4 linked regions of the Daphnia pulex genome follow. The protein of the gene in region 3 interacts with the protein of the main gene of each other region in a pairwise test. Links are inferred from orthologs where the notes say so. Each region holds a gene or a part of one and is shown on either strand. Other genes may lie near its edges.

The links.
Region 1: the proteins of splicing factor 45-like (region 3) and U2 snRNP-associated SURP motif-containing protein-like interact in binary tests that used the Homo sapiens proteins (3 or more experiments, as listed by UniProt). The link is inferred for Daphnia pulex from reciprocal best matches to the Homo sapiens genes RBM17 and U2SURP.
Region 2: the proteins of splicing factor 45-like (region 3) and putative pre-mRNA-splicing factor ATP-dependent RNA helicase PRP1 interact in binary tests that used the Homo sapiens proteins (3 or more experiments, as listed by UniProt). The link is inferred for Daphnia pulex from reciprocal best matches to the Homo sapiens genes RBM17 and DHX15.
Region 4: the proteins of splicing factor 45-like (region 3) and splicing factor 1-like interact in binary tests that used the Homo sapiens proteins (3 or more experiments, as listed by UniProt). The link is inferred for Daphnia pulex from reciprocal best matches to the Homo sapiens genes RBM17 and SF1.

The regions. Positions count from the first base shown.
Region 1 is NC_060023.1:3,570,629-3,576,416, reverse strand, and holds the start of U2 snRNP-associated SURP motif-containing protein-like, read right to left. Parts: upstream 3,710-5,788; 5' UTR 3,550-3,709; coding exon 3,475-3,549; intron 3,403-3,474; coding exon 3,309-3,402; intron 3,242-3,308; coding exon 3,055-3,241; intron 2,997-3,054; coding exon 2,869-2,996; intron 2,813-2,868; coding exon 2,739-2,812; intron 2,676-2,738; coding exon 2,510-2,675; intron 2,445-2,509; coding exon 2,281-2,444; intron 2,211-2,280; coding exon 2,151-2,210; intron 1,820-2,150; coding exon 1,776-1,819; intron 1,386-1,775; coding exon 1,281-1,385; intron 1,210-1,280; coding exon 1,094-1,209; intron 1,038-1,093; coding exon 923-1,037; intron 860-922; coding exon 697-859; intron 628-696; coding exon 361-627; intron 292-360; coding exon 174-291; intron 114-173; coding exon 1-113. Other genes in the region: phenoloxidase-activating factor 2-like, read left to right, coding at 5,526-5,709.
Region 2 is NC_060017.1:1,845,583-1,851,384, reverse strand, and holds the start of putative pre-mRNA-splicing factor ATP-dependent RNA helicase PRP1, read left to right. Parts: upstream 1-2,063; 5' UTR 2,064-2,189; coding exon 2,190-2,236; intron 2,237-2,417; coding exon 2,418-2,459; intron 2,460-2,572; coding exon 2,573-2,680; intron 2,681-2,743; coding exon 2,744-2,884; intron 2,885-2,947; coding exon 2,948-3,022; intron 3,023-3,083; coding exon 3,084-3,188; intron 3,189-3,251; coding exon 3,252-3,630; intron 3,631-3,710; coding exon 3,711-3,965; intron 3,966-4,029; coding exon 4,030-4,288; intron 4,289-4,347; coding exon 4,348-4,539; intron 4,540-4,893; coding exon 4,894-5,033; intron 5,034-5,096; coding exon 5,097-5,270; intron 5,271-5,331; coding exon 5,332-5,494; intron 5,495-5,552; coding exon 5,553-5,674; 3' UTR 5,675-5,679; intron 5,680-5,737; 3' UTR 5,738-5,802. Other genes in the region: quinone oxidoreductase-like, read right to left, coding at 1-168, 288-440, 500-598, 679-711.
Region 3 is NC_060018.1:8,644,420-8,649,703, reverse strand, and holds splicing factor 45-like, read right to left. Parts: upstream 3,415-5,284; 5' UTR 3,214-3,414; coding exon 3,100-3,213; intron 3,036-3,099; coding exon 2,795-3,035; intron 2,720-2,794; coding exon 2,626-2,719; intron 2,549-2,625; coding exon 2,125-2,548; intron 2,051-2,124; coding exon 1,876-2,050; intron 1,808-1,875; coding exon 1,710-1,807; 3' UTR 1,676-1,709; exon of another isoform or gene 1,587-1,675; 3' UTR 1,394-1,586; downstream 1-1,393. Other genes in the region: cyclin-G-associated kinase-like, read right to left, coding at 4,364-4,468, 4,542-4,718, 4,791-4,963, 5,034-5,284. UniProt on the Homo sapiens protein: Splice factor that binds to the single-stranded 3'AG at the exon/intron border and promotes its utilization in the second catalytic step. Involved in the regulation of alternative splicing and the utilization of cryptic splice sites.
Region 4 is NC_060027.1:2,738,732-2,744,530, reverse strand, and holds the start of splicing factor 1-like, read right to left. Parts: upstream 3,625-5,799; 5' UTR 2,623-3,624; coding exon 2,178-2,622; intron 2,034-2,177; coding exon 1,958-2,033; intron 1,385-1,957; coding exon 1,232-1,384; intron 1,170-1,231; coding exon 1,063-1,169; intron 998-1,062; coding exon 843-997; intron 780-842; coding exon 480-779; intron 418-479; coding exon 1-417. Other genes in the region: tyrosine-protein kinase Src42A-like, read right to left, coding at 5,275-5,486, 5,552-5,799. UniProt on the Homo sapiens protein: Necessary for the ATP-dependent first step of spliceosome assembly. Binds to the intron branch point sequence (BPS) 5'-UACUAAC-3' of the pre-mRNA. May act as transcription repressor.

The sequences.
Region 1 (5,788 bases), on a different chromosome or scaffold from region 3:
ATCAAAATCAGCGTCATATTTGTTTGATTTCGTAACTGTAAATGAACGAGCTGGAGAACTAGTTTGGAGTTTGACTGCACTCCTCAAAAGAGCCGCACCGTCCAAAGGTACACCTGAAAAAAGAAAAAATTATTAAATTACTTGTACTTCAAAAACTTGTATTTGAAATAAACCATCCAAATCTTCGGAATCACTGAGTGGAGCTCCGTCGATTGCTTCTGCATCGTCAAGTGGAATGCCGTCGACGTCTTCAACGTTGCCTGAAGTCCGTTGAGAAACATCTTGATCGGCCTTTAAAGAAATCAAAATAATTAATGAAGTGTTGGAAAGATTTAAAAATAGAAAAAAAAAAAAACTTACAGAGACAAGGCCCAGAAAGACATTTTGCAAATGAATGAGGAATTCGGCTGGATAGACATTCCATTCTTCCCAAGCTCGAAAGCAGAGCATAACTCGTTGTCGAAAAGCTTCGGCTTTCAATCGGCTCTCGGTCGCCTCGTACGCTTGATGCATATAATTGACTATTTCCACCATGTGTGACTGGAATCCCGAACGGAAACTGGAAGCATTGACCGCCTTTGCAGACGAGTTGTAAAGGACGTCTGATACCAAAAAAAATCTTCCCAACTGAAAAAAACAAAAACAAGATTAAATTAAGTAGGTTTCTTCCAACTTGGAAGTCACGACTTAAATTACCTTTTGAGGAATATAGGTTTTGACACTATTGAGTGACTCGGTAACGAAATCGATGATTTCCTCGTAAGCTTCGGCGTGCTCGATGCAAAAAATCATAGCTTCCGCTACTTTGGATTTTTCAGGAGTCAATTTTCTCAACATCAATTCTAGTCGTTTCTTTTGACTATGGATTTGAACGTAAATTAGAATTGCTTAATGAATTAGAAAAAATAATTGTAGTAAATACGATTTGCTGAGCGATCGTCGGCGACTCTCATCATCTTCCTCGTCGGACGAGAAAAGTTCGTCTGGCATGCCCTCAGAAAACGGGTTCATAGACGGGGGTTTCCAGATGGAACCGCCTATTAATTTTTAAAAATGAGCGCTGGATAATTTACAGAATAAAAAGAAATTTTACCTTTAAACATGCGAAAGTCTTCTGTGGACCACACATTACCAGACTCGCCTTGTAGGATTGAGAACAATTTCCAGCGATAGTAAATGTGAGCTGGACTCCGGTTTTCAAATAGAAACCTGATTGCAAAAGTAAAAAAGAAATAATAATTACTATCCAACAACATTTTTAGAAAAGACAATTTAGGTACCTGAATTGCTGGTTATCAATTTCCTTGTTCATCACCATGGCCTCAAGCATTGGGCCCTCTCGAACAACAGATTCGATCATTCGATGAATCAAACACAACAAATTTCTGTGTACGCCAGTTCCAGAAAACCAAGTTCAACATACGTATGACACGCACAAATGTCAATCGTACAGATTTACGTGGTGATAAAAATGAAAATGTTAAGATTAGCTACCGACTTAAAAAATTTTGTTCGATGATTTAAAAGAAGTGGGTCAATTGAAAAAGCAAAATTTCTTTCTTTTTTTTTTTGGTCAAGCATTCCGAGTGTTAGTTAAAAGTTTACAAAGGAATTAAATAAGACTTAAGGAATAGTCGCATTGGAAGAATGAAAAGAACAATGTGTTGTTCCTTCGTGACAAAACGTGTATACTCCCTGGGGCTCGGAGGGAGCAGGGTAATGTCACACAGCCGCGCAGCTTCAAGGTATTATGAGGCTTGATCTTTGTTACATACCTGTCTGTAGGGATAACCACTTTGACAACAGCCCTGGATATAATCTGCGAGAGAAGCAGCAAACCCGGGTGAAACATCAACATATTTCCAAACACACAATAGTATGAGAGCAGTGAGACACGAACAACGGTCTTCACTAGCCAAACGAATGCAACGCATGAAAACAAATTTTTGGCTGGGTTTCATCGCTTTCCGCCGAAGAACACAAATAGAAAAGATGAGACCTCCCAACGAAGCGACCGCACACAAAGCACTCGCTTCTTTTTATCCGCCGACCATGAGTAACAATGCCGGAACAGGCGGATAAAAAGTCTCGAGTCTTGTGTCAGTCATATTGCTGGGTTGATTGAAATAGCTTAGCCCATCCCCCAATACCTTGTTGAAGTTCTCCAACGCCTCGCCGTGTGTTGGGTAGGGTGTTCCGGGTGGCGGGATCTGTGACAAGGGAAATATTAATTTCAATTATGTTTGAAAGAACATCTAAGGTACTGCATACCAGCCATACCTGATCAATATCTTGTGGGGAGGGTATTGCATTAAAAGGCAAGCCGGTTGGTGGTGGAGGAAGCGTTTTTTCAAGTAATGCTGGCGGTATGTAAATCGGTCGAGCAGGAATTGGCAAGGCCTTCCCCCATCCGAGTTTCATTTCAAAAGACAGAATATCTTTACCTGTTGAAAAATAAACATTTGATATAAATGCATCGATGCAAAAAACGGAATATAAACTGTCAAACCGTTTAATTTTTTCATCGCTCTCTCTGCGTCTTTTCGGCACATAAAGGCTACGAATCCGCAATTTCGATTCCTTGCTTTCTCTTCCTCAGTTCGAGGCCACATGATTTTTACGCTGGCTAAAGGTCCATATTTTCCAAATGTGTCCATCAATTGTTGTTCTGTCATCTGCAAGGGACATTAAATTTATGTTAATAAAGTTGATAAAAACATGATTTATTTAAAACTTGCCTTAGGGTTGATATTGCCTAAATAAATGTTAGTGGTATTGGGATCTCCTACATCAAATGATCCTGTCTTTTCTTCTGAAACAAAAAAAGTGTGACAAATTTGCTACAAAATGCAATTACAATTTACATACCTATCAAGATTGATCCAAGAGCAAGAGAGCTTTTGCTAGTACTTGGAGAACTCACATTGACAGGCTCAAAGCGACTTGGTTTCAAGTGAGCTTTAACTTTGTGTCGTTCCTCTCTTTCTTCTTGGATACTGTAAGAAAATTTAATTGTAACATTATTTTTTAAATAAGAGAATAATCTAGTTTTACACTCTGAGTTCCTCTTTGAACATCTCAAGATTGCTCTTTTTCTTCTCCTTTTTTTGTAAACTTTTATCTTTTGATTCTTTAGATTCCTTAGATTCATTTGCCTTGGATCTTGTGGAGAAAGATTCTGCTAAGCTCGCCAATTTAGATGTTGGTTTATACAATTTGCCTTTATCTTTGGCATCTTCCTCTGCAAATTAAAATGAAAATATTAAGAAAAATGGCTATATTATAGCATTAAATGTGTAATCTGTTACTTCTTTGACCAGCATCATAGGTACCCGCTTTGACCCAAACTTTACTGACTTTGCTGGCATCTTCTTGAAATGTGGCTACAAACTCCTCAAATACCTAATAATAAATCCAATGAACAATAATATTGAATTATTTGAAGTTCAGCTTCTCCAAACAAATGTGTATCACCTCAGCAGCAGCTTCAATTTCTTCGCGCTTCTTGATTTCTTCGAGTTCTTTACGAGACAGTCCTCTTTTGGCCATTTTGACACAATACACTAATGTTGCAAGAATGTTAAAAAGAAGTTGAGTATCTTCTTATAATTTCACGTCATAGAAGGTTTAATTATATTTCGATCAATCCATCCCACAAGCACTTCATACTATTTCAGCCGATTCCAGCTCGCATCGGCCAAAACAGCGATGCCAATCATTATTATTTTTCTTTTTTGGTCGAGGAATAACATAACACAGAATCAGATCGGCCAATCGGCACATCGCCAACATGAGTCATGAGTATATGAATATGACAACTAAAATTTCGTTGATTTTCGCGTTAGGAAAAAAACATGTAGTATATGTCGTAAAACTGCACCCAATTGTCACAAATGTTTATTACATTGTGTAACAGGCGAGGCCGGCAGTCAGTAGGATCAAATCTGGTGGAGAAGAAAATGCGCATGAGGGCAACACGCGAGCCATCGGCCCCAAAACATGTAAAATTTGTTACAGCCTTATTACAGGGATGATAAATTCCATTGTTTGATGTCACCGTGAAATTGAATGGACTCCAATATCGTCGTATTCCATTGTCGAATCTTTCTTGATTATTCTTGCATAAAATTGCGTTTAAACATTATTACAGAAAGGAACAAGAAATCACAATTTATTGTATAGCGAAAGTCCCAAAAATATTCAACATCACCACTTTTTGTTACTAGGGTAATTTAAAATCAGAAGAAATTATAATGGAATCACCGTAAAATTTTTCCTAATTTAATACTCATTATCCCTAAAGTTTCATTGTTTTACACAATAACTGTTTAATAGCGGAAGTTTTCACTAATACCTCGTTAAATATAACGTTATGTTCTGTTAATTGTACTAATTGTAAATTTCCGTGCATGGCCTAAGTCCCGGCCGAAACAAAACAGATCCACATGAAAGGGTTTTCCAACTTATATAATATACATGCTTACAGAACATCAAAAGCATTCCGTTATTTTGTTATTTCTAGTTTGGGAAATTTTCATTTTGGGTACAACTCGATAGTGACGTTGGGTTTTTCCATATTACATTGCAGTTTTGGCTAGTATATGCATGTATCGTGTATCCTAATTTCCCTTTCCATTATCCCTGAATACAATAAAAGAACGACATTTTTTTCTATGCACGTGTCAAATGAATGGGAAATTTTGATTACAAAACGAATTAACTATTGTGTGTCGAAATTCATACAGCTCATTCAGGTAACCCAAAACTTATCTAATCTTGCAATTAACGAACAATTTTGCTCTATTGCTCATATATTCTCTCCCAAAATTTTTTTTTAAACTTAAATTTAAAACAATTCCGCCAAATTTTTTTTTTTTGCTGATGACCGGTTGATGGCTCTACACTTGGGTTTGCGGTGCCAAGGTGTGTTAGCAGAAGCTAAAAAAGACCTTGAGCTTGACTGACTGCTTTCTCTCCAAAAAATAGCCTTGAGGAAAAAACTGGGGAAGGATGAGGGGAAACCGGAGAACCTCAAACTATAAAGCGATAATATTGATTCGAAATATACGCATGCAGCCTAATGCAACTACAACAAATAGTAAAGCAAATGCCATATGGAAATGACTCGTCATTTAGCTATTGGCACATCCGGTTGATGATAACAAAGGCTTTATAAGTGAACCGCACACATGGTTGAACAACCTAAATTAAATCACCTGATGAGCCGAGAGGGAAAAAAAATAACGTGTACACTCACCTTGGGAAATCCCGACAAAGTCACGTGACCCTCCAACTGAAAAACCAGTTTCTATTGGTTCCAGGAGTTGGTAACTAGCTGGTCTCTTGTGTTAACAGTGTGTGCTGGAGGATAAATCAGCCAGTATATAAAGCAACAGCCAGAGTCAGATCATTCAACAAGTTTCTTCTAAGAGAACTTGAACTCGAGGTAAGACAACTTTAAGTGCTAAATATCTTTTTTAAAAATTATTAACAACAACATTTTCATAATCATTTATTTAGACAGAATGAAAGTAAGTGCTGCGTTAGTATTCGTTGTCTTTGTGTCGTCGGTGGTAGCCAAGCCACAAATTTCATTTGGGGAAGAGGAAGAGCCAGTTCCTGTAGATTTACCCAACACGTCTGTAGATGCGTTGGGTACTGACGATGAGTTGGTCCACACTCGTCTAGGTCTTCTCGCCGGCTATCTCAGTAAATTAATAATTTGATTTCCCATTTTTCGTTTATGAGATAGTACGAATTCTATAAGCCTAATTTAATATGTTTTTAT
Region 2 (5,802 bases), on a different chromosome or scaffold from region 3:
TATATACTTGATAAATATAGCGCGATAAGCCGTGAAGTAAGGAACACCTAGAGCGGCCCCTTGGGCGAAGGAGAGGCGATCAGCCAGATGGAACACTGAATGCGATTCACAAGCAACGTACTCGGCGTAAGAGCCGCTGGCTCCGGAAAAGAAAACGCGATCACCTTCCTGCAATAGAAAAGAAGAAATTGTAGCACTTTCTCTTCAAACTATTTCTTGAGTATTTGGATGATTTCAAATCATTGAACCTGTTCCTTTGGAAGATTATTTTAAAAAGGACGACTAACCTTGAGTGTGTCAACTTTGGAGCCAACTTTTTCAATAGTTCCAGAACCATCACGTCCAGGGATGTAAGGCAGAGTTGGCAATTGAGCAAATAATCCCATTCTAATGTATGTGTCAACTGGATTAACACCAGCTGAACCAACCCTAATCAAAACCTAAACATAGCAACTTTAGAACAGTCGTGTCAATTGAAGCAAGTGAACAAATAAAAAACCTGGGTTTCAGAATGAACAGGAATCGGAACATCAGACTCTACTTTCAAGACTTCTGGTCCTCCAAATGTGTGCACACGTACAGCCTTCATTGCCAGTCCCTGAAAATAAAACAACAATAAAAAAATCATTATTTTAATGTTCATAATCTCTACATGATTTTGTCCATTTTTCTGTATACCCTAGTTAATACAAAGAAGTTTCTCGAGTTCATTGACACATATTTAGTTAAGGGCTCGGTCGAAAGTTCGTTGCATCTTTCATTTTACAGTTTACCTTCACTGGATAATTTACAGTTTACCTTCACTGGATAACTGCTTGCTGGCTTTCTCTTATCTAATCAAGCAGCACCTCTAGTTTTATTCAATAAGATATCTGTTAATAACATCAACAAGTTCAGACGACATAGAGGGCGAAGGCTCCCAATTCAAAAAATGTCCGATCGCAATTTTTGCAAATCATAAACAGAAATGCAAATAAAAAAAGTAGTCTTTGGTCTCTTTAGAAGGAAAATATTAAATCAAAATGCGATGCTCTAGATACTGAGAGCGCGTAACGGAAATCGGGTTTCTTTGGAAATATTTTCTCCCGAAGTACGGGCACTTTTTCGGCCATTGAAATCAAGTTATTTAACAGCACACACGAAATTTCCAATTATTTTGTTAAGTAATATTACAGATTTTTAGCTATAGCGATAAAATTAACGGTAACAAAAAATTGTCTTACGGATTTTCAAAGGGAATTGTAACAGGGAAACGTAAACTGGACGGACGTAGGACGGAAGACCTGTTAATTCCTCGGCGGCAGGTAGCGATGTGAATGTCGGGAGCACCGAGAAAGAAGAAATAGGACATCAAATTTCCTAGCCTTTCTTTTTTTCTTTACTGCTATGTGTTCCGCTCAGTTCACGATTTCATGCCCGTTCTCTGCGTTCTACTTTCTCTCTACAACTTCCCTACTAATAAAGAACAATTTAAATTGAATTATTCCGGGAAGCATCAATGCATTTAAACAATAGCTTCTCCCCATATAGATTTTTATTTTCTATTTTTTCCTAGGCCTAATTTCATTAGACCAAACACATGATTAATAGAAATAAGACAAATTGAGTCCTTCAATGCGTATTGGATATTCAAACTAATTTATTTGAAATGAATTCAAAGTTTTTTATAATAAGGACGTCGTCAATGCTGAATTCTCGTGGAATATATAAACATAACGGTACTGAACGGAGGAAATATTCCGAATTGAGAAATCAACAACTTTTTCATTTAGGCTAACTTGTAACTTTCTAACCACCAAAACGAGGCAACCATGAAATTGTGATCGAGCAGTAAAATAATTACTATACTATTCAATTAGCAAATACCATATAGCTAGGGTCTGAAACGAATTAGAAGCAAAGCCATATACATTTATAGATCAGCGCCGCGCATAAAAATACGGCATCTGTAGACGAGTTATTGTCAACTTAAATTGTGGCAATAAACCAGTAGTTCCGCAGTTCGCCGCTTATTGGCTATGTGCCATCTAGCGATTTGAAATGAAACGCGTGCTTCCTTTGAATTTCACAAGTAGCGTCTGCAAGTGTGGAAATTGGTGGCCGAAGTTCCTGTCTGTGCTGTTGGAAAACGTGTATCCACGTCCTGTTCGTTTTTAAATATCGTAAAATAGATATTTTCACCTCTTATTATGTCGAAAAGACGCATAGAAGTTGATGACAAGCTCAGCAAGAAATCGTAAGTAAAATGCAATTATTCAAATTAGACAAATAAACCCGCGATTGTGTCATTTGTAATGCACATGAGCATGCTGTAGTGAAACATGTCGTGGTCGATAAGATTGTTAATGATTTTTCAAAAAACCATCATTCTTTTTTTAAATTATTATGCAATAAAATTAATTTGTTTTACTTTACAGCCGGGCAACTGGTGACAAAGGGAGTGAAGCAGATAAAGAAAAGTAAGCTTCTATTGTTATAAATATTTTTCTAAATTCATTTTCACTTTTTGATTTACAAATTCCCATATTAGTGTCTTAAGATTAAAATAATGCTTTGTCTTATTACTTTACAGAAATGTAACTGATTCTAAACCTGGTGGTTCATCTGCATCAATTCCAGTAACACCATCAAAGCCAGGGTTGACATTAAATCCCCTTACAGGATTGCCCTATACACAAAAGTACATCATAAATATTATTTTTTTTTAAACACTCGTTGATAATGATCATTTATATTGTTTTAGATACTATGACATTTATCGAAAGCGCATTGGCCTTCCAGTTTGGGAATACAGGGAGAAATTTTTTGAGCTTCTAGAAAACAACCAGGCAATAGTTTTAGTTGGAGAAACTGGATCGGGAAAAACTACTCAAATTCCTCAATGGTTAGGAAATATATTTAGTTTATCGTAGAGCAGTTTGTTGATAATTTGCTATTATTGTGACAGGTCGGCTGAGTTTGCGCGAAAACTAGGAGTTAAAAAAGGAGTCGCTTGTACTCAACCACGTCGAGTTGCTGCTATGTAATATTTTAAGTCAAATAGTTAATTTTCTCTTAATATAAAACCGTTTTTTTTTTGTAAGGTCTGTGGCTCAACGTGTAGCTGATGAAATGGACGTCGTTCTTGGTCAAGAAGTGGGTTACAGTATCCGTTTCGAAGACTGTTCTTCCCCCAAAACCGTACTCAAGTATGTTCTTTTGAGTAAAACGTTTTATTCGATCAAAACTATTCCCTATTTCATTTTTTAAAGGTACATGACAGACGGTATGTTGTTGCGTGAAGCCATGTCAGATCCACTGTTAGACTCGTATCAGCTAGTTTTATTGGACGAAGCTCACGAGCGTACACTTGCTACTGACATTCTTATGGGTGTTTTAAAGGAAGTCATTAAGCAAAGGCGTGATCTAAAGTTAATTATCATGTCTGCCACGCTTGACGCGGGAAAGTTTCAATCTTATTTTGATAACGCACCATTGATGAACGTGCCCGGTCGGACGCATCCTGTGGAGATCTTTTACACCCCAGAACCCGAGCGTGACTATCTTGAAGCAGCCATACGCACAGTCATGCAAATTCACATGTGTGAAGATATTGTCGGTGATGTTCTTCTCTTCCTCACTGGTCAAGAGGTTAGCTTTATATATTTGTAAAATTTGATTGAATTTCTCAGATTTCTCTGAACATGTTTATCTTATTCATGTACACATAGGAAATCGATGAAGCTTGCAAAAGGTTGAAACGTGAAATCGACAACCTTGGTCCTGAAGTGGGAGAAATGAAGTGTATTCCTTTGTACTCCACATTGCCACCAAATTTGCAACAGAGGATTTTTGAGGCTGCTCCCCCAGTTAGACCAAATGGAGCCATCGGTCGTAAAGTGGTTATTAGTACCAACATCGCCGAGACCTCGCTTACTATTGATGGTGTTGTTTTTGTTATTGACCCTGGTTTTGCCAAACAAAAGGTAACATTTAGGAATTTTCAAATGTGAGTTACATGGTTCAAATTTGTGGAATTGCTGTTTTCAGGTTTACAATCCTCGCATTCGCGTCGAGTCTTTACTCGTTTCTCCTATCAGCAAAGCATCAGCTCAGCAACGTGCTGGGCGTGCCGGGCGTACGCGACCAGGAAAATGTTTTCGTCTTTACACAGAAAAAGCCTACAAACAAGAGATGCAAGACAACACATATCCTGAAATTCTTCGCTCCAACTTGGGATCAGTCGTCATTAATCTTAAAAAATTAGGCATCGACGACCTTGTTCATTTTGATTTCATGGACCCTCCAGGTACCATATCAACATTTAAATAAATAAACCGCATGCTGATTTTTTTTTTTATTTTACAGCTCCCGAGACTTTGATGAGAGCTCTAGAGTTGCTGAATTATCTCGGTGCTTTAGACGACGATGGTAACATGACCGAGTTGGGAGCAATTATGGCTGAATTTCCCCTTGATCCTCAATTGGCCAAAATGTTGATTGCTTCTACGGAATTCAACTGCTCCAATGAGATCCTTTCGATTACGGCTATGCTTTCCGGTAAGCTTCACCTAACTTCTATTTCGGTTGATTTGGTTGTCTTTGTGTGGGATCTGAAAAATAGCTAGGGTGATTTGCCACGTTTTGCCTTTGTAGTTTAATCTAAAAGTTCTTACTTGTTATGGCAAAACGGCTAATCAACTGGTTTAAAAGGTGTGCTTTCTTTGAGAGCACAGATCATAGTAGAAACGATAGGCTGTTCTATTGTATCCTGTTAATAGGTGAACAGAACTAAACATGAAGGCGGGACGCGCGGGCTTCCCATTTTTTGGTCTCCTTGAAAAATGTGGGGCCCCACTTCCGTCTCTTTCTCTTTTTGTCTCCTCCCATTTTTTCCGCAACGTCTGAATGCAGTCCCACAAGTTTTTATGCGTCCACTGGAAGCCAAAAAGGCTGCTGACGAGGCCAAGATGCGCTTTGCTCATATTGACGGTGATCACTTGACTATGCTGAACGTCTATCACGCATTTAAACAAAATATGGAAGATCCTCAGGTATGCTCCCGTCTTTTTCTACGAGCTCGTTGATGGTAATCTCACATTTTTCTTTTTAAACAGTGGTGTTATGACAATTTTGTCAACTACCGGTCAATGAAATCGGCCGACAATGTGCGACAACAGCTTTCCCGTATTATGGATCGCTTCAATTTAAAACGCACATCCACCGAATTCACCTCAAAGGACTACTATGTTAATATTCGTAAAGCACTCATTAGCGGTTTCTTTATGCAGGTATAGAGACAAATAATTTCTTCTCTTTGTATTTAAGTACATCTTCGCGTTGTTCTTCCAGGTTGCCCATTTAGAACGAACGGGTCACTATCAAACTATTAAAGATAACCAAGTGGTACAACTTCACCCTTCGACTTGCTTGGATCACAAACCGGAATGGGTTATTTACAACGAATTTGTTTTGACCACTAAAAACTACATCAGAACTTGCACCGATGTCAAACGTAGAATATGAAAATCTGATTTTCTGATCCCCCAAATTAACACACTTCTGTTTTGTAGCGGAATGGCTTATCAAAGTTGCTCCTTCTTATTATGATATGAGCAATTTCCCAGAAGGACCGGCAAAGAGACAACTTGAACAGATAATCAACCGTCTAGAGAGTCGAGAATATCGGAATTGAAAACGGTAAGTTGACGTTATCCTTTGTTTCTATTCGATATCAGGAGTCAAACTGTTTTTTTAGGGCTTAAAAACACCTCTTACACTTACTTTGTAAAGTCGACCGATCATCAGTTTCCATGAATTGAT
Region 3 (5,284 bases):
AATGGACAAAGAATGGTGCTTCTCGATGCGATGACCGTCTCTAATGTACTAGTGTCAGCAAATGCACACGACAATTATGTTTCCCGGTTAAAAAAAAAAAAAATACTTTGTACCACATGGACATGACCCAATTGTTTGACGGACATTACAGCAGGCAAGAAACAAGTAGACTCTCAAGTGACGAAATTATCTTTGACCTCGAATAACGCAGAGCCTAATTGACGTATCTTCTTGAAATTTGGAGATTGATCATAAGATGTCTAGTTGATTATTAACGTAGACATCATTAAGCAATGATTTCAATCGGCCAAATTCCTTTTTTTTTGCAAACTGAACAAAAGTAAAATAAGAACATTTGAACACCAATACCTAGTATATAGTAAGAGTGTGACCGTGAAAATGTCGTTAGGTGAGCGTCAGTTGTGAAGTTCTTCCTTCTTGATGGTTCGAATCAGACTGGCGACTTGTGGTGGGAGGTTTGAAAAGAATTTGCGGAACTTGCCTCCAGAGACGTTGATGTGTCCTATTCTATTCCTATAGGATCATTGAACTGCCTCGAACCAGTTTATCCTTGAACTCCGGACATTTTACCCCACTAAAAACATGTACTCACCCTCACCCTCTTCAAGAAAAAGTTATCTACCCATTTTATGATATGATGACATTTATTTTTTTTTATTTTTTTTTGTAATCCTGCGGCTCATGAACCACAACACATTGCAACATACTAACATATCTTTAAAACAGGCGGTGACGCTTTCGAATTTATTATACAGCACACGGTCACGAAAAATAATGCATAACAGGCCGTATTTACTGAAATGCTATGCTTTATAAGCACGTACGTTATTGAGCATTTGAGCTATATTAAATGTCAAAATATGAGGTCAATAATAATGGCAATGACAGCTGACCTTGTTCTCGATCATGTTGAGACATGAACGATTCACGAAGAATTCTTTCAACATTATGATATCATAGGAATTTTGAGGCAAGAAGAGGTTCCCACTTTGCGTAGCTATTTCGAAGAACTACATATACTCATGGTTCTTGGAAACCGGATTATACTATTTAAAAAATACGTTAACGTCGATAGATCGTCCCCTATAAAATATTAACCTCATTTTTATATGAAAGTGGTTTAACCTACTGAATGTCACTTAAAAAACACTTAAGAAAAGAACCAATTTTCATGAAATTTTTTATGATTTGGAAACGGGATATATATATGGAAACCTACCGCCAAGTTTCCGAATTCAAATCTATACTTTTTTTATTACTAAATTCTAAGCATCCACTAGAAGTCTATTACTGATTTGCAGCTACGCTTGACAACTCAAATTTTAAAAAGTAGAATCTACCTTTTGATGAAAAATGAATGTAGTCGTGAAAATCAAAGTAAAGTAAATCTATTTTACACTTTGAATGTAGAACCTTGCTTGATCAACACATTTTTGTGCAATTCAATTATTTGTTCTGGTGTGATATTGCGAGGACACGCTAGCTTGTGAAGTTAGAATTTGTTTTGCTTCGTAGTAGTTTAAATTCATCTCTCTTCATCCCTTTTAAGGAATCAATCTTATTTCCTAGAACGAGAGAAAGGTTTTTCGTCCTAAAGGTCAAATGCTTCCAACTTTTGGGAACAACGCCATACCATGTAATTAAATTCAATTACTTTCGATTCGTAAAATTTATTTTTCAATACGTGTTCAATCATTCAGCTCCATCTTGAGAAATCTTTCCACATCATAGAATCCGGCTTTCACCTGCCGACCAGCAAAGAATCGGCCGTTGAGATCAATTACGGCTACAAAAAGAAACGACAGTTAACAATTTTTAACAGACCTGTGTTATTGTTCAACTGTAGTTAATTACCTTTGATGGCAGCTTCCATTCGTTTAAATTCAACAAAAATCCGTACAGCTTCCTCTTCCTCGGCGTTAGGTACCTCGAAAATAACAACTTTATTCACATCCCCGTATTTTGTCTGACATTCCTCGCGTACTTCGGGTTCCAAATCAGAATCCACTTCACCAGGGCCAACCATATTCTAATGAAAGGGGAAACAAACAAACAACAGAATTTGAAATGAGGACCGTGAAAATGATTGACCTATGACATTACCCTCAGATAAATCACTTTTGAAGGATTCTTCATGATATCAGCAATCGTTAATTCCGCTTTGGGAGCAGCTGTTGGCGACACAACAGGTGGCGGAGGAGGCATAATTTCTTTTTCATTGATAATACGTCCACCTCGCTTGCTTGTTTTTTCCACTTGTAAGGCAGCTGCAATACCTTGCTGTTGTCGTCCAAGTCCCTGACCTTCTTTGAATCCATATTTTGCCATGATCTTAGCAGCAACACCAAGAGCTCCAACCCCACTTCCAGTAGAGGAGAGAGAAGGATGAGATGGCGATGAGTTGTCTTGTAATGATGGAGGTGGGGCAATGGCAACTCCACCAGAAGTAGAGGACTTCTTCACCATTGGTTCCTCTTCCTCATCATGTAAACGTCCAGCAAAACCTGATCCTACAGCAGATGAGGACCTAAAACATGAAATGGTTATGTAATCAGTTTCTATCATCACCATATTTATTAGGCAGCTCCCAGTCCCATTATATACCTGTCTCTGGTTTTAATATCTCGATCATCCCTAGGCTTCCTTTTCTTTTCAGCTTCTTCTATTTCAATTTCAATCCCTCGTCGTTCCTTTCTCTCTAAACAAAAAACAAAAAAAAAAACAAAAATTATTGTATTCAGATTTTTCATTTTCTATAAAAGGTGCTGTGTACCCCTAATGATTTTGTCATAGTCAGTAGGATGCAGTGGATCATACTCTAGATTTGGGTCCCATTCCAATTCAGCAAAGAGTGAGGATCTCTCTTGTTTAGGAACAATAGTTGTCAAGAGTTGGGGTGTCTGATGAATCAGATTTTTGGTCATTTCAGGTTCAGTTTTTATCTGTGATTCAGTAGCTGTGAGGCAGGGTGGTATTACAGGATGGATAGCTCTTCGGATACCTTCACGTTTTGGCTAGGAAAAACAAATCTTTCTTCATAATCTATGAGTAACAAATGAAATGTAAATTGTAGGATACCTGTGTAATCATAGCTTTCTTTAAGTGCATCTGCGAATGTAAAAGCTTGATTCCTGACGACCATCCGGTGACAGATTTAGCTTTATTTTCGTCGATATCATCGTAAAGAGACATTTTCACAGCAAAGTAATTTCTTATATCCGTTGAATTAGTTGTCGTTCAAATCGTTTTTAAACAGAGCTCAGGACGCCTTCGCAGTAACATACACAAGAAATAAAAATAGACGACGAATGCAAATTGTACTGTATTTTTTTATGTTTTGATGTATTCATCTCATGAAAGGTGAAGGTGACTACTAAACAGCTACCTAAATCTGCAGTGAGGAACCAGGGGGCAGGGGCATGCCAGGGCCCAGCAGGGCCAGGGCCCAGGGGTGGCCAGGGGTGGCCAGGCACTACAGATACAGCGATACTACCCTGTTTCTACTTATAAATAATTGAATTGTTTTTTTGTCAATTAAACACCTTGCTTTTCGGATACGGAATAGAAAATACGGAGCTTCTCCCAAAAAATTGCCTCCTTGCGCATATCGTTGATTTTTGATTGTTTTGGGACAGGAATATTTTTGGGTCGGCCCTTTTACGAGTTACGACACCTCCAAATGTCGCCACAGTTGTGTGCCGTTAATTGTATGCGTATCTATATTATCGAGCGGACGGACTTGTTATAAGAGGTGTCTGTGACGAAGAATCAGTGACGAGAAAGAATAAAGTTATTTATATCGCAAATTCCAACAATTGGTTTGTGAGAAGTCACTGTTTTTCTGCAATAAAACTCAACGTGGCTACATCTTGCATCTGAACTTTCTGTAGCACCGAACAATAATTATTTTAATACTATTTTTAAATTAACTGAATTTAACCGAATCTTTAACGCTTCTTTTAAGAATCATTAATAATGATGCAGACACGTGTATTACTTCTTGAAAACCGGTAGCTATTAAACTTAAGCCGGGCGGAGATTACCGCCTTCGTTAGAGAAAACGAGACGACTTCTCCGTAGAAGAAACAGAAAGAGAACAATTAAAATCACGGAGAAGGAAAAGAAAGAAGAAAAGCGGCTGAGGAAAAGTTCTAAAAACGTGATGTAAGCTATTGTAGCTGAATTTGAAAGGAAATCTTGGGACGGTAGGGAGAGACATCGATTCCGAGTTACGACTAGATCATGGGCGTTTCGTATGAGTTAACCCAATGCTAGACAATTATAAACACGTAAATAGAACAATCAACGCTCGTAAACTATGAAGAATGGAGGAATGTATCTGTTATCGAAACATATTTTGCTGTGTTACGTCGTTTTCAAATTCAGACCAGGCGTCGTTCAGTTCCATAAAAATCATTTTTGCTATTTTCTCGTTGTCAGTTCCAGACTGTGTGATAATACATTCGAATTAAAGGCAACTTTTCTTACTAAATGTAAATGACGTGATAAATTTTACCAACCTGTTTGTCTGGATGCACTGCCAAGCAAGCCTTACGATACATTTTCTTGACATCCGTGTGCGACACTAGCTGGTGCATCCCCACGTCTTGCCATTTAGTGCCTTCCCAGAGAACGGTATGGAGCGAGCAGAGTAAAGCCCTGATATTACGCTGCTTTCCCTCTGTCCATTCCATAATCTGTCAAGATTAAACAAACAACAGTTAGTTCATAATTTTATCCGTAGTAAACACATTTTGTAAAATACTAACCTTCATTTTATCTGGATCTATATCTTTGGCCAATTCTTCCTTGCGCATAGCGTTGATTGTTTTGGGACCAGAATCTTTTTTGGTGCTACTAAAATCAAACCCCTGGGTTCCCAGCAAATCCCCAAACATATCGCCAGCAACTTTAGGTCTAGGTAAGCCACCACCTCCTTTGGCTGAAATTTAAAGAAATACCGCATAATATTTAAAACACTGTTTTTAAATCTTTGATTAAGGAAAAATTACTATAATCACTACGGCCAAAAACAGAGTCAAAGTTTGTTCTAGAGTAATCAGGTTGCCCTTCGCCGGGTGTTTTGACGGGCTGCTGCATAGAAGTACTTGTTGATGTGGAAGAATTGGAGACTGGGTTTGACCGACTGGCCTGTTGTGGTATAGTATTCGTATTCGACCACATTGTTGGTGGCTTATGAAGCGGTGATCCACTTAACGAAGTTGACGGACTCGTCAAAGACGTGCCAGCAGCCACTGTGGGG
Region 4 (5,799 bases), on a different chromosome or scaffold from region 3:
ACCTCCCCATTGAGGAGCCCCACCCATCCACGGTTGCATGTTGGATTGCGCTTGCTGTTGTGAACCAGAGGAAGCACCTTCAGTACCTGGTGGAGGAGGAGCGGATGACATACCGCCACTGTGACCCATCCATCCACCGCCCATCGGAGTGCCCCAAGGACCCGGCGGACCATAGCTTTGTGGAGGACCCCATTGATTGGCAGCTCCTTGTTGTTGATTTGGTCCAGGACCACGTGGAGGGCCGCCACCACCACCTCGACCACCACCCATGGATGGACCAGCAGTGATGGCCCTAGGTTGTCCTTGTTGTCGATCAAACAATCCAGAGCTTCCATGATAACTTGAACGTGTACCGCTTCCCGATCCTTCACTCTTCGGTGGAGGACCCTCTCCCAATTCGGCCATCAAAGACATGTACTGTTAAAAGAATGTAGGAGATGAGTAAATGTTCGATTGCGTTAAAGCTTTGCAAAATTTACCTCTTCATCAATCTTATTTCCTGGTGCTCCATCAGCATTAGCTGAATTACGGGGAGTTCGACAATCTCGAGCAATATGACCGGTTCCTCCGCAGTTGTTGCAAATGACGGTGTTCGTGACGTTAGGCTTGTCGGGACATTGCCATGCTTTGTGAGTAGTGGCACCGCAGTTTGAACACCGTGGACCAAACTCGCCTTCGCGGAACGTTCCATTCAACATGGCCAATTCTCGTAGCTGCATTTTCCGTAAATCGTTTTGATCCTCTGGTACCTCAACAGCTTCCTTAATGATCTTTCTAATCTGTCAATTCAAAAACAGCGTCATTGATTGTTCTTTTTTCTACTTCAAGATGGAAATACTCACTCGATCGACAGCTTTTTTAATGGCTTCCATACTATTGGCGGTTACATAGGCATGCAGAGGTTCATCTTCGCCTGGCAAAGGCTTACCTACTTTTCCTTCTTTGACTGATCCTTTGCCTCGAATTATAATCTTAGCTCCAGTGTCTTTTTCCATAGCTGGTAAAATATAACGATCGGGTTTAATGTTATGTTACGGTTAAATAAATAAACAAAAAACTTACATTTTAAAGTGTTTCCACGTGGACCAATCAGCAGCCCCACAAAATTGATTTCCGGATGCTCCTCTTGCGGAATCATGACTTTATCGGAGACGCGCGTCATAGGGGGTCTAATAATACAAGGAAAGTGATAAGTAAGGGCAGACATGGTAACTAAGATAAATGATCTTACTTGTAGTCTACAGGGGGTTTGAAGTCAGCATTTAAGGAAATCATCTTGGTGATCATGGAGTGGCGCTCTTCTTCTAGCTTACGACGCATCCGGTACTCCCGGGTGTTCAGCCTTTTACCATCCGTCCCGTAAATTGGTTCCGGTGATGGCGATCTGAAAATGAAGGAGGAAAAAAAGAACAAAGGGAATACGAAAATGAGCTATCTTTTCTTATTCTGAATTTAGACGAGGATAATTGTAAATTGATTAAGTTATTATTTTTGCAATTGATTAAATGTTCTGAAATTTTATCCATCCGTCCAGCTGAGCAATGAGAAAAATCGAGATAAAAAGCAATTTTAAAAAATGGCAAGTATAAATTGCCTATATTGAACGTTAGAATATTTCTTTGAAAATAAATGCACGTCCTGTAAAGGTTCAAAAAATCAAATTATAGGCTCCCTACATCTGAACCTAACAGACGGCATTAGTACGATTTCGGTTTGTGGTGAAAAAAAGATTAAAATGTCAACCAATTAATCATCACAACCTAGGCTCATTTGTAAGAACCTGAAAGGTCTTTGGAGGGAATGGATATAGATCAATCAATGGATAAAAAAGAATGAATTGTTTTATGCCTAGCTGACAAATTAAAAAAAAAAAAGATTGAAATATAAACAATTTAATTTTGATTAACTATGAAAAATTGGGAAAGAAACGAATTAGTATTGGCTTTATATATCAAACCTTTCTTCTGGATTGGGAGCAATGCCTAAATCACCAGTCCTCAGTTTCCGTGTTATCTCCTCAATCTTGAATTGGACTGAAAAATCACAAGTCAATACACACAATATTATGATGAATCAGTTAATACACTCATACAAGACAGAATATGCACTCCTGTACGCAAGTGATGAGAATGCACAATATTCAAAAATTAAGTTACACAGATGCACAGAACTATTACCTAGATACGCCTCCTCCTGGTCCTTTGTCAAGTTTGCTGGTAAAACAGTTGGCATGCCCGGAATGAAGGTCTTTTCTTTCTCATCTCCACCCCAGCGTGAACGCCTCTTCTTCTTTTTCTCTCCACCGAGTGAATTGTCATCTGAGTTGTTGCTATCTTCCAGTCCACGTTTCCAGGTGTTGGCACTGGCAGAAGTGGACGAAGATGATGTGGGGTAGCTGTAGCTGGGAGTTGTAGATGGCTGATCAAATTTGGATTCGTATTTTGTTTCGTACTTTGGCTCATATTTTTGCTCGTAGCTTCCGTGTGAGCCTTCATCATCCGAATTCAGATAATTCGGGTTTAAAAGCGAAGAAGTTGCTTGTCTTCTTCCACCGGTGAGAGCTGGATTGACCCTGCCCAGAGGTGTAGTATTGGCACCCGTTGAATGAGCGTTACTCGGCATGACTTATAGCAAAATATGGTCAAATTCAATTGAAATCGTGGACAATCGGACAGAAATTAACCGAACACGTAATGTCAGAAATAGAATGCGTCTAACTTTGCGCACATTGAAATGATGAGAGCCGAATTATTGCCCGACGCGATGAGACGCCAAGATGGCTGACGCGACATTGTCAAATTAATGAAAAATTTAATTTATCGATTAACTCGCATTTTGATTCGTTCTTGGCAATGTGGCAATGCTCGGTCTTTATTTATAAATCGTAATTCACTTTCACTTTCATTTGTTTAAAAACCTTTTCATTGCCGAGTGCCAACAACAAAAGTTACAAAACCTTTAGTAACCATAAATTAATCTAAAATCTAGAGGTTTGATTATGATGAATGATAAGACAATCACTAATTTAAAGTTCACCGCTAAGTAACGGCCAAAGTCGTGCAAGAATTTTTTTCGTATTTCCAAATGATGTGGTCGTATAATTGTTAAACCACGACAATCTAACATGTCAATGACAAGAATCTATTTAAATAGGTACCACAATCTAACAGACTCATTTGAAATATAACATAAAGGTGTCACAGTTGTCACACTGAATGGGTTTCGTAATCAGCTTTGCTTGGCTTTGCTATCATTGCTTGTTTGTATGGCACTATGGCTTCAAAAAATCATTGATAAATCACGTCAATTATAATTATCTATCCTGTTGCGTGTCATGTAGGCCCATCACATCAATCGGTTTTCGATAGTCCGACTTCACCACTCATTTAAGAAGGCCACATGTAATTTACTTTGCTCCACAGGTGAAAAAGTCACGACTGAATTTCGGTCACTTGTTTTGTGTTTTGGAATAGCGTTATTAGTTAAATGGGATGAGGGTGATTAGATAAAAATGTCCTAGTTGCAGGAAGTTATTTCACCAGTTTGTTTGCAATTGAGTTCCAGTGGAAAATCCCAAGCTGGAATTCCACAATTCTACAACCACACTGGCCATTTTCTAGATAACTAATGACGATAATTATCAGTCGTTTTTTTCCCCTTCATAACGATAGTGGTTAATTGAGGCTGATGACTTGGCAAGTTTATTTCTCATGGAAACACCCACTAGCCCTTCCCAGCGTCGGCAGGGTTTTTGGGTACTAGTTTTTTCCTTTTTTTTACATAGTAATATAATTGGAACAGGAGACCATCGTTTGCCTCACCGCCATTGGAGATGAAAATTGGCGAGAGGTTGCGCGATCCTGAACATGGTCGCGCTCTGTTTACATGAAAGAATTGGCATATGTGGAACAGTCGCGAATTCTTCCTTCTACTGAAATCGCCACCTAAATTTTACCTTTGAAATAATTTTTTGACAAATCCTGAAACCAACGGTATTTCAGTTCACGAATATTAGATGGCACTGCTTCTTTATTTATTAATTTTCCTAAAAGAACCGGCCCCAGCGTCACGACAAAATCCCACAACGAAGCCCATCTTTCTTCTTTTTGTTCTCAGGTCAATGACAATTGTAAACTCGACTCCTCCCACTGCTCATGAGTTCAAAAACCAGCAGAGGCGATAATGTTTTACGGACTTGTATGGGAATCGTAAACCAGAAAGTCAACGGTCAGTTTGACTCATCTGCTATTCAATCTAAAGACGTTATCTCAACTGGTTTACGTTCGAATTTCCAGTATTTGGACACACACAACCATTCCAATTCCTGATCAAATTATTGCGTCCTGATTTCGATTGTTCCAAGGTGAAAATAAAAACTTTGCTCACAATAAATCTACTACAATCGGTGTCGACGCAACCACAAACGCCCCGTTTTTTCTTTCCCCTACTGTTTCTATAAGGACATAATTAAGGACAGAATGAATACCATGTTGTAAGCTCTTTGGTTCGTTCCACGGCCGAATTCTACTTTGGCGCACAATGACAACCAAACGACTGCAATTTAAAAGAAAAAACAAGTGCTTTATTGTCCAATTGTTCCTGGAAATCAAGGATTCAAGAGGGGATAATGATGAAAACACAAAGTCTAGACGACTGTAAAGTTCGAATGAAGACGAGATACTGACGGGAAACAAAAAAAATCATAATAAGGAGACGAGGGCAATTTAAATCATAAAAAAAGAGAGAAAGAACTGTGACGATAAACATCGGGTGGAAGCGCACACATCCACATACACATCAACAGCAATTGGATGCTCGGGATGGAAATGTACATAACGGTTAGGCTAAAAATGAGCCAAACCAAGCTAAATAAACTGACGAGCAAAGAAACAGAAAAGAAAAAGGGAGAACATAATCAAATAATGATTATTTTGAATGCACTCTTTTTTTCATTTCTAAAAATCCCAACCAGATAAAAATAAAATGTGATTGTGTGTTGCGGTTTACACGGTATCAAATATTACTTGGGATATGGGGAGTAGTTCTTAAGTAATGCCATTAATAATAATAATAGACACGCCTGAGCACCGTTGCGTTTTTCTTTTCTTCATTGAACCTTGTTGTTGTTTTTTTAAGAGGCAGTCCAAGTCAATCAAGACAAAAGGAGAACTAGTGTGCGCGATTGCTGTTTGTGTAGTACGTGTTGTGGGTGTATGACATTGAGTGGGTTAATCGTTCACCAGTCTTTTGGCTCAATAGGGAACCGCAGCGGATCTAGTAGGCAACAGCGGCTTCTTTGTATTCAGACCCTTCAATGGTAAAAAAGTCCTCTAGTTTCCATTGAAGCGTCTCGAATGTAGGCCGTTTCATAGGGTCTTTGTGCCATGTTTCCAACATAATTTCATAGAGAGCAGGTGGGCAACTAGGAGGTGCCGGCATCCTGTACCCGTGCTCAACCTGGTGGAGCACCTCAGCATTGGTCATACCTAGCCGAAATGTTGATTGATTAGCAAACTGGAAAAATGAGTTCAACCAAATTGACTCGACTCACCAGGATAGGGAATGCGTCCGTAAGTAATGAGTTCAGTAAGAAGGATTCCGAAAGACCAGACGTCTGACTTGATAGAGAACTTGCTGTAGTTGGCTGCTTCAGGTGCGGTCCACTTGATGGGGAACCGAGCGCCCACACGAGCTTCGTACTCGTCTTCCTTGATAATACGCGCCAAACCGAAATCGGCAATTTTGACGATGTTATTCTCTCCAACTAAAACGTTGCGAGCGGCCAAATCACGATGAATG